Pelodiscus sinensis: one gene and its partner. The protein of the gene in region 1 purifies or fractionates together with the protein of each later gene. This does not show direct contact. Links are inferred from orthologs where the notes say so. Each region holds a gene or a part of one and is shown in the gene's direction. Other genes may lie near its edges.

The links. The genes of interacting proteins can lie anywhere in the genome.
Region 2: the proteins of USP25 (region 1) and BTBD9 purify together in Homo sapiens (affinity purification with mass spectrometry; 3 studies listed by BioGRID and IntAct, counting the BioPlex papers as one, with this or other methods). This does not show direct contact. The link is inferred for Pelodiscus sinensis from reciprocal best matches to the Homo sapiens genes USP25 and BTBD9.

Annotation. Positions count from the first base shown.
Region 1 is NC_134711.1:172,436,707-172,440,457, forward strand, and holds the start of USP25 (ubiquitin carboxyl-terminal hydrolase 25), read left to right. Parts: upstream 1-1,005; 5' UTR 1,006-1,229; coding exon 1,230-1,277; intron 1,278-3,751. UniProt on the Homo sapiens protein: Deubiquitinating enzyme that hydrolyzes ubiquitin moieties conjugated to substrates and thus, functions in various biological processes including inflammation and immune response.
Region 2 is NC_134713.1:142,227,191-142,230,941, reverse strand, and holds the start of BTBD9 (BTB/POZ domain-containing protein 9), read left to right. Parts: upstream 1-1,515; 5' UTR 1,516-2,498; coding exon 2,499-2,604; intron 2,605-3,751.

The DNA of each region.
Region 1 (3,751 bases):
CTGGAGGATTTCTTACTTGAGTTCCTGAAACCCTCGCTTTATGAGGTTTAAAGGTAGTTGGAGAAAGAGTGCTCGTTCTCAGACTTACTGCTGTGTAGACAGCATCAAAAGCTGAAATAAGCTATTTCAACTTAAGCTACGCAATTGACATAGCTCAAGCTGCCTAGCTTATTTCCGATTTAGCTATGATGTGTAGACGTACCCTGACACTAGTGACTGGATAGCGAAGGGAGAGAGCAGAAGTCCTGCTGCTTCTCTTGGACAGAGTAAGTAGGTGGAGGAATTGGAAAGGAATGGGCTAGGGATGTAATTAGGGATTGTGACTAGGGTTGCCAGGTGTCGTTTTGAACCAGACAGTCTAGTATTTAAGCTTTCTGTTTGGGAAACATTGAGGAAATATAAATAAGAAAATATAAATGTCCAGTATTTTCTAAATAAGATGTAATGTAGATTGTGATGTAATGTCAAGTGTGTCTGGTATTTTTGTTGAAACCATCTGGCAACCCTAATTGTGACAGATGAGGTACCGCTGCCAGGGCCCGAGGAGGAGGAATGTAAGAACACTAGTGATTAGAGGAGGAGAGGCATTCGCTTGGGGAGGGTGGACAGTATATTGTGCTTGTACAGTGTCCAGGAGAATGAGGTCCTGATTCCTGGCACCCTGACAGTAGAATAAGACCTATTAACACTAGCGGTTAGATGGGAACAGCTTCTGAGGATCAAGAGAAGGAGGGACCCGAGTGGGAGGGAGCCCAGCAACCCTTGCCCATAGTTGAGCAAGTTGCTGCTGTGGTAACTGGTGAAGAAGGAGGAGAGGAGTGTGGAAGGAGGAAGGGCAGTAGTAGTGGAGAGTTGGGGTGGAGGGAAGACGGTGCCGCTGCTTACTGGCTGAGGAGAGGGGCGGGGGGGATGAGGGCGGTGGCGGCCGGGGGAGGCAGAGGAGGGCGGAGCAGGGCCCTGGCGCGGGGTGGGAGCCGAGCAGGCCGGGGGCTGGCTGCGGTGCTGGGCGGGCCGGGCTGGCAGCCGAGGGCGGAGCTGGCGGCACATTCCAGGGCCCGGGCCGGGCTGGGCGGTAGCTGCAGCAGCCGGGCCTGAGCGGCTCTTTCCCTCCCCGCGCTCCCCGCGCCCTCCCCGGCTCCGGGCCCGGCCCCTGCCTCTCCGCTGCCCGCGCCGCCTGCAGCCGCTGCCCCGCGCCGGGGGGAGGCGGGCAGCGGCGCCGGGCCGGGGCCATGACCGTGGAGCAGAACGTGCTGCAGCAGCAGAGCAAAGCCCAGAAGGTAGGAGCGCGCCGCCCGGGGGAAGCCTCCTGCGGCCGCCCGGCTACGCGAGGGCCCGGCGGGGCGGGGGATCCGCGCGGCCCCTTGGCGCTGTGACCTTAGCGGGGGAGCGGGCTGGCGGCCGGGGGGCGGACCCGCGGTGCTGGCTGGGCCCTGTGGGCTGGGGCCCGTGGCGGTGTCTTGCACGATGTCTCTCTTCCATTAGGCTCTGTAACCTGCCCCGCCCCATTAATTTTTCTCCCTCACCAGGACAGACGTGGGGTGTAGCCACTCACCCAGCGCCCATTGAAAACAATTCGCCCCTCCCGTTTCCACAGCCCCTTTGCTCTGTGTCCTCCCGTGCACCCCCTCCCCCCAGGCAATCAACGTTTCCCCCCTGCCCTCTTCAGTCCTTCCCTGGGAAGATTTTTAGAATAGATCCTCTTCCCCCCGCCCCCATTCCAGGCCTTTACAGTTCTGGAGCGTTTTCCTCTTGCATGTTGATTGAACATGAAAGTTACGAGCAAAAAACGGTTTAATTAGCTACTATTGTGAAATCAACACATTGCAGTGAGTGGCTCAGTGCTCCTGTTATAGTAATTGAGGTACATTGGTCCTGCCTGAGGAGAAGTGGAGTGGGGACTGTGGCACAATAACTTTTGAATTCCCCTATGTAGATGTAGTGAGAATGTACAGATTCCATCAGGATGTGCTCAGATGAAGAGAGGTCCTTAAATATCCTGTAATACATATGTAAAAGAATAGGCGCTTGTGCTGCACCTGTAGTAAAATCACCTCCCACTATCATTGTTCAGCATGCTCTGGAGTGCAAGGTCATGTTGCTTGCCTTCATCTGAAAGGTGACTGTGTTTAAGTGGTTGTACAGGTATGCAGGGTCCAGTCTTGAAACTAGCTCATGAGTGGTCCTGTTGAGCTCATGGGATTCTTAGTTAAGAGAAAAAAAATCACATGACTAAGGATTATAGACTAAGGCCCATATTTTATACCACGTGCCTTCATTCTCTTTAGAGAATTATGTACTGTGTGGTAACATAAGGGACTAAAGGTATTTCTTACATGTAAAATGCAAATACACTAGTGATAGCAATAGATATTTAAAAAGTGGAAGCTATTGTGAGCATGTAACAGTGGAGTAATGATTGTAAAATATATTTGGATGTCTTATTACATTTGTAGTTGTATATGTAATGACTTTGTCAGTTACAACTAGAAAAATGTATTTGGGGCTCATGGTGATGTGAAACCTTTGAACTCTGTCACTGCTGAAAATTGGTACTGTCTGGTATTTTTCATTGGCTAACATGAAATGAGTCCATTGTTGACACAACAGACCTTACAGTTACACAGCTGTACCATTGCAGCTACAGTGTTTTAAGGTCTCCTGTGTCTCTACACTGACAGGAGAGAGCTCTCGACATAATAACACTACGCCCAACAAGTGGCAACAATGTTGGCGGGAGAGCATCTTCCACCAGTGTAGTGCAGACCACACTGGTGCTTCTGTCGGTGAAACTTGTGTCCATCAGGGTTGTAGGTTTTTTCACATCCCCCGACCAGCAAAAGCTTCACTGAAAAAAAATGCTATTGTAGATGTTAAGTGCCTTTGCTATTAAGCCCGATCTACCTTTTTTTCCCCCCATTGTCACTGTAACTTTTATCTGTTGGGGTAAAGCTGTACTTAACCAAAATTGTCATACCAGTAAAACTCTGATATGCATGTGTTTGAGTATAAAAGTGTGTACTGGTATTATTTACCTTCCTATATGGACAATGTCTGGGAACCTGGGGGTGGAGGTGGAGAAGGTGATGGCAAAGGGGGCAACTGCTCCGTGGCATGGTACTCCTGGCCACCATTGTTACCACTATTGTGATGGCTGGAGCCCTGGATCCTTTAACTTGCTGCCAGACCCCCATACACAGTACTCTGGGCAGTGCTCAGTGCTGTCTGGGGTAGGTGCAGTGCACTCTGGGCTAGAGATGTAATAGTATAGTGGATTAACCGATAAGCAAAAGCTTGTTGGTTAATGCTATAGACTACACACATTCTCCCCCCCCCCCCCCTTCCCTCACCTGGCCAGTAAATTTTTTTAGCAGGTTGGCCAGCAGCCTGGCTCAGTCCTGGCGCACATTGGGTTAGAGACCTTCCCCACTGCTGCTCTGCATTTAAAGTGTATTAGGAACTGGGTGGGCAGGTAGCCCGGCTCAGTTCTGGCTTGCACTGGGTCCGGAAGCTAAGACTCTCTCCCTGCCCCCCCACACCACGGCACAGGAGCTGCTGTCACCCTGTGCTGCTGCTGTGCTGCTGCCTCTATAACAGAGGCAGCAATGCGGGGTGACAGGCAGGCAGTCCGTGAGGAGAGCTGGTTTTTAAATTGGCTCTCTTCATGGATCAGGTCCTGCCTAGCATCCCACGCTGCCACCTCTCATACAGAGGCAACAGCGTAAAGTGACAGGGGTCTCTTCGGGAGTGAGGC
Region 2 (3,751 bases), on another chromosome or scaffold:
ATATTTACCCAATTTCCACCCACATGACAGCACTTTTAATGAGCAATGACAGGAGTTTTACTAAAATACATATCAACAGAAGACCATTATATTGACTACTTCTTTATTTTGGCTCCTACCTACCCATGGGCTGTATGTTGAACCCCACGTAAACCCAAACTGCACTGAGTGCGGCAAATAAGCGGGCTGCGGACTCTGGTGTAGTCAATTAAGCAATAAGCAAAAGCTTATAGGTTAATACTATAAACTACATGCATTTCCTTCAGTCTTTCTCCTCCCCCTTCCCCCGCCACCAGTAAATTTTTTAGCAGGCTGGCCAGCAGCCTGGCTCAGTTCCAGTTCATGTTGGGTCCCATGAGGGGAGCTGGTTTTTAAACTGGCTCCTCTTGTGGACCAGCTCCCGCCTGGCACCCCGTGCTGCTGCCTCTGATATAGAGGCAGCAGCATGGAGTGGCAGAGGACTCGTCGAGAGTGGGGCTGGAGCACACTGGCTTCCAGCTCCGACTTTGGGGACTATAGAATAGTCAACTAACTGATAAGAATTTGTGAGGTTACTCAACTATTCAGTTAACTGATATTTAACATCCTTATACCCTGCCACATAGGGTGGGGGGGGGCAACTGAAATTTTGGGAGAGTCTGATCTCCTTCCTACCCCTGCATGTAAGTCAGGATGTGGGGAAATCGTTGTCTTTTGTGTTGGGAGCTGAGAATGGACAACCACTGAGATAAGTGGGTGGTTTTGTGTCTGAGTTATTGGTTCAGGTTGTGTTTATCTCCAAGGCTCGCCAGCCGCGCGGTGCGCAGATCGCTTTGTGCCGGCTCTTCCGGGTTGTAATCTACTCGCCACGGGCGAGTAGATTACATTATTTGTCGAGCCCTGTTTATCTTTATGGACTGGTCTCATTCACACCTTTCAGAGCCTTCTCTGCTGCAGAGGGATGTATAAAGGAGCGCTTTCTCTCCATCATCCCTCTCTGTCTTGTTTGAATGACAACACTTCTAAGTGCTTTAAGAGCCACCTTTTCATATGTTTTCTTAAAATTCATGGAGGATAGGTCCATCAATACTTATTAGCCAGGATGGGTTTATCGCAGGCTGGAAATGGGTGACAGGGGAAGGATCACTTGATGATTACTTGTTCTGTTCACTCCCTCTGGGGCATCTAGCATTGGCTGCTGTTGGAAAACAGGATACTGGGCTAGATGGACCTTTGGTCTGACCCCGTATGGCTGCTCTTATATTCTTACATTGCTGTTCCTTGTGGGAATCTGGAATAGGATCAGTGTCCCAAATTGGAGGTCTTTTGAGCCAAGGATTCTGGAGGTATAATCCCTGAAAAAAGCTACTTTTAAAATTCTATGATTGTAGGATTTTTATGTGCAGAACTGGAGGTCAAACTGTTGCTGTGATGTGGGTCAAAATGGTCTCAGTAAATTTTTACTCTTTGTAATGAATGGCATCTAGTGTTTGGTGGTCCAAATTGTGGACGGTATTTAAGCTGGTGAAGAGCATGTATATTTCAACTAATTTTCATCCCATTCACTCTTACCAATAGGGTTCCATCTAACACTGCAAAAGGATAAAAAGGGAGTGGGAAAGGGAGGCTGCCCATGCCACCTTCCCTCTACGCTCTTCAAGCAGTGTGTCAGTCAGTATGCACATAGACACAAGTAATGCTAGCCTTTGGCACTAGAAAGGCTTGTCTTCACATACAGCACTACAGCTATGTAGATGAAGCAGTCTAGTTAATCCCCCTCCCTGATAGGCTATAGTTACATTGATGGGAGACATAGTGGTTACATAGCTATGACAGCACCATTTACATAAGGGATTAGGTCGGTATAACTACATTGCTCAGGGATGTAGATTTTTTACATCCCAAATTGCGTAGTTATACCAATATAGTTGTGTAGCGTGGACATGGCTTAAAATTGAGGAGCTTCCAGATCCAGATCTCACACAGATTCTTAATCAGCTCCCTAGAAAGAATATCATGCATATAGAATTTAAGAATATCACGTGTGTACAATTTAAGAATGTCTTCACAGCTTTTTGCAACATCCCTACACTTAATCACAGGACATCTTCTCAACCTGTGCTTTCATTAAGACATCATTATAACATTAAAATCCTCTCATATTCCACCTCACTGTTGACAATAATCCTGGTAATAAAATCCCTAGGCCTTGCTACTGACATAACCTATGTAATTTGCCATTGAACTGATGCATAATGGATTCTAAAGGGGCACGAGCATCTCTTCTTTTTGCTCACAAACACTGAAAGGTGCAAAACAGATCTCCTCACATCATAATCACAACTGTTCCATACCCAGGATAATCTACGAATGTCCTCATATTACAACGCAGCTTTATCAAAAAGGCCCAACTACTGCCTTCACTTGCACCTAATGCCTGACAAGTGATTGTACTTACAGTATATGTGAATAACTCGCATTGCCTACTCTCATTTCCAGGGGACAAGTTAGAAGGTGACATGGACAACCCCCCACCTTCCTTTTTGTTTTTTAAAAGTGTTGGATGGAATTCTGTGGGTAAGAGTGAATTGGTTGTAAGACAAGGTGAAGAGCTTGTGCATTTCAGTAAGTATGACACAGGAGGAACAAAGGTATGAGTGTTAACAAGAGCTACAGAGGCATTGCTTCAAGAAGCAAGAGTTAAGGTTCCAAGTGTATATCCTTGGTTTCAGAAATTTGAGTTTTGCTCAATTGAGCATTTTTCAGGGGAATAACATCAAAGCATCCATAAAGAGTCAGTCATGTGAGCACATTGTTATATCCCTGCTCATCATGGCTAATAGCCATTGATGAACTTCTCCTCCTGAAACATATCTAATTATTTTGTGAACGCTTTTATAATTTTAGTATTCACAACAAGGGATGTAAGAATGTAAATGACTAACTGTTTAACCAATAAGCAGATGCTTATTGGTTAATGGTGTCTGTTACACACAGCCTCCTCTCCAGGATCCGGGCTGATAGGGACTGGTGGCCATTTCTCCCAGGAAGGCTCCTATGTGGGCTCTGCAATATAAGGCTTAGCATTTCAGGTAACCGTGTAACTGCTGAGTTTTCAGCAGGTAACTCTGTAACTGCTGTGATTTTCAGCAGTGATAGAGTTACCCTATTACACAGTTTTTAATATCCTATTCACAACATCTCCTGGCAACGAGTTCCACAGATTGACTGTGTTGAGTGAAGAAATACTTCTTTTTGTTTGTTTAAAACCAAATGATTAATGTAATTGTGTGACCTTTCATTCTTATATTATGTGAAGGAGTAAATAATACTGATTCATTTTATATCCCCCTTTACTTGTTTCTTTTTCAAGCTGAAAAATCCCAGGCTTTTAAATCTCTTTTCATATGAAAGCTGTTCTATATCTCTAATAATTTTTATTTGCCCTTCTCTGTACTATTACCAATTATAATATATATATATATTTTTATTAGGGCAAAAAGAATTGCACACAGTATTTAAGGTGTGGGTGCGTCATGGATTTACATACTGGCATTATGATATTGCTTGTCTTATTATCTATCTCTTTCCTAATGGCTCTAACATTATTAGCTTTTTGTGAGTACCATTAAACATTGAGTCGATACTTTCAGAGCTCTAGCTACAATGACTCTGAGATCTTTCTTGAGTAGTAACAATGAATATAAACCCCATCATTTTGTATGTATAGTTAGATTAGATTTTCCAATATGCATTACTTTGTGTTTGTCAG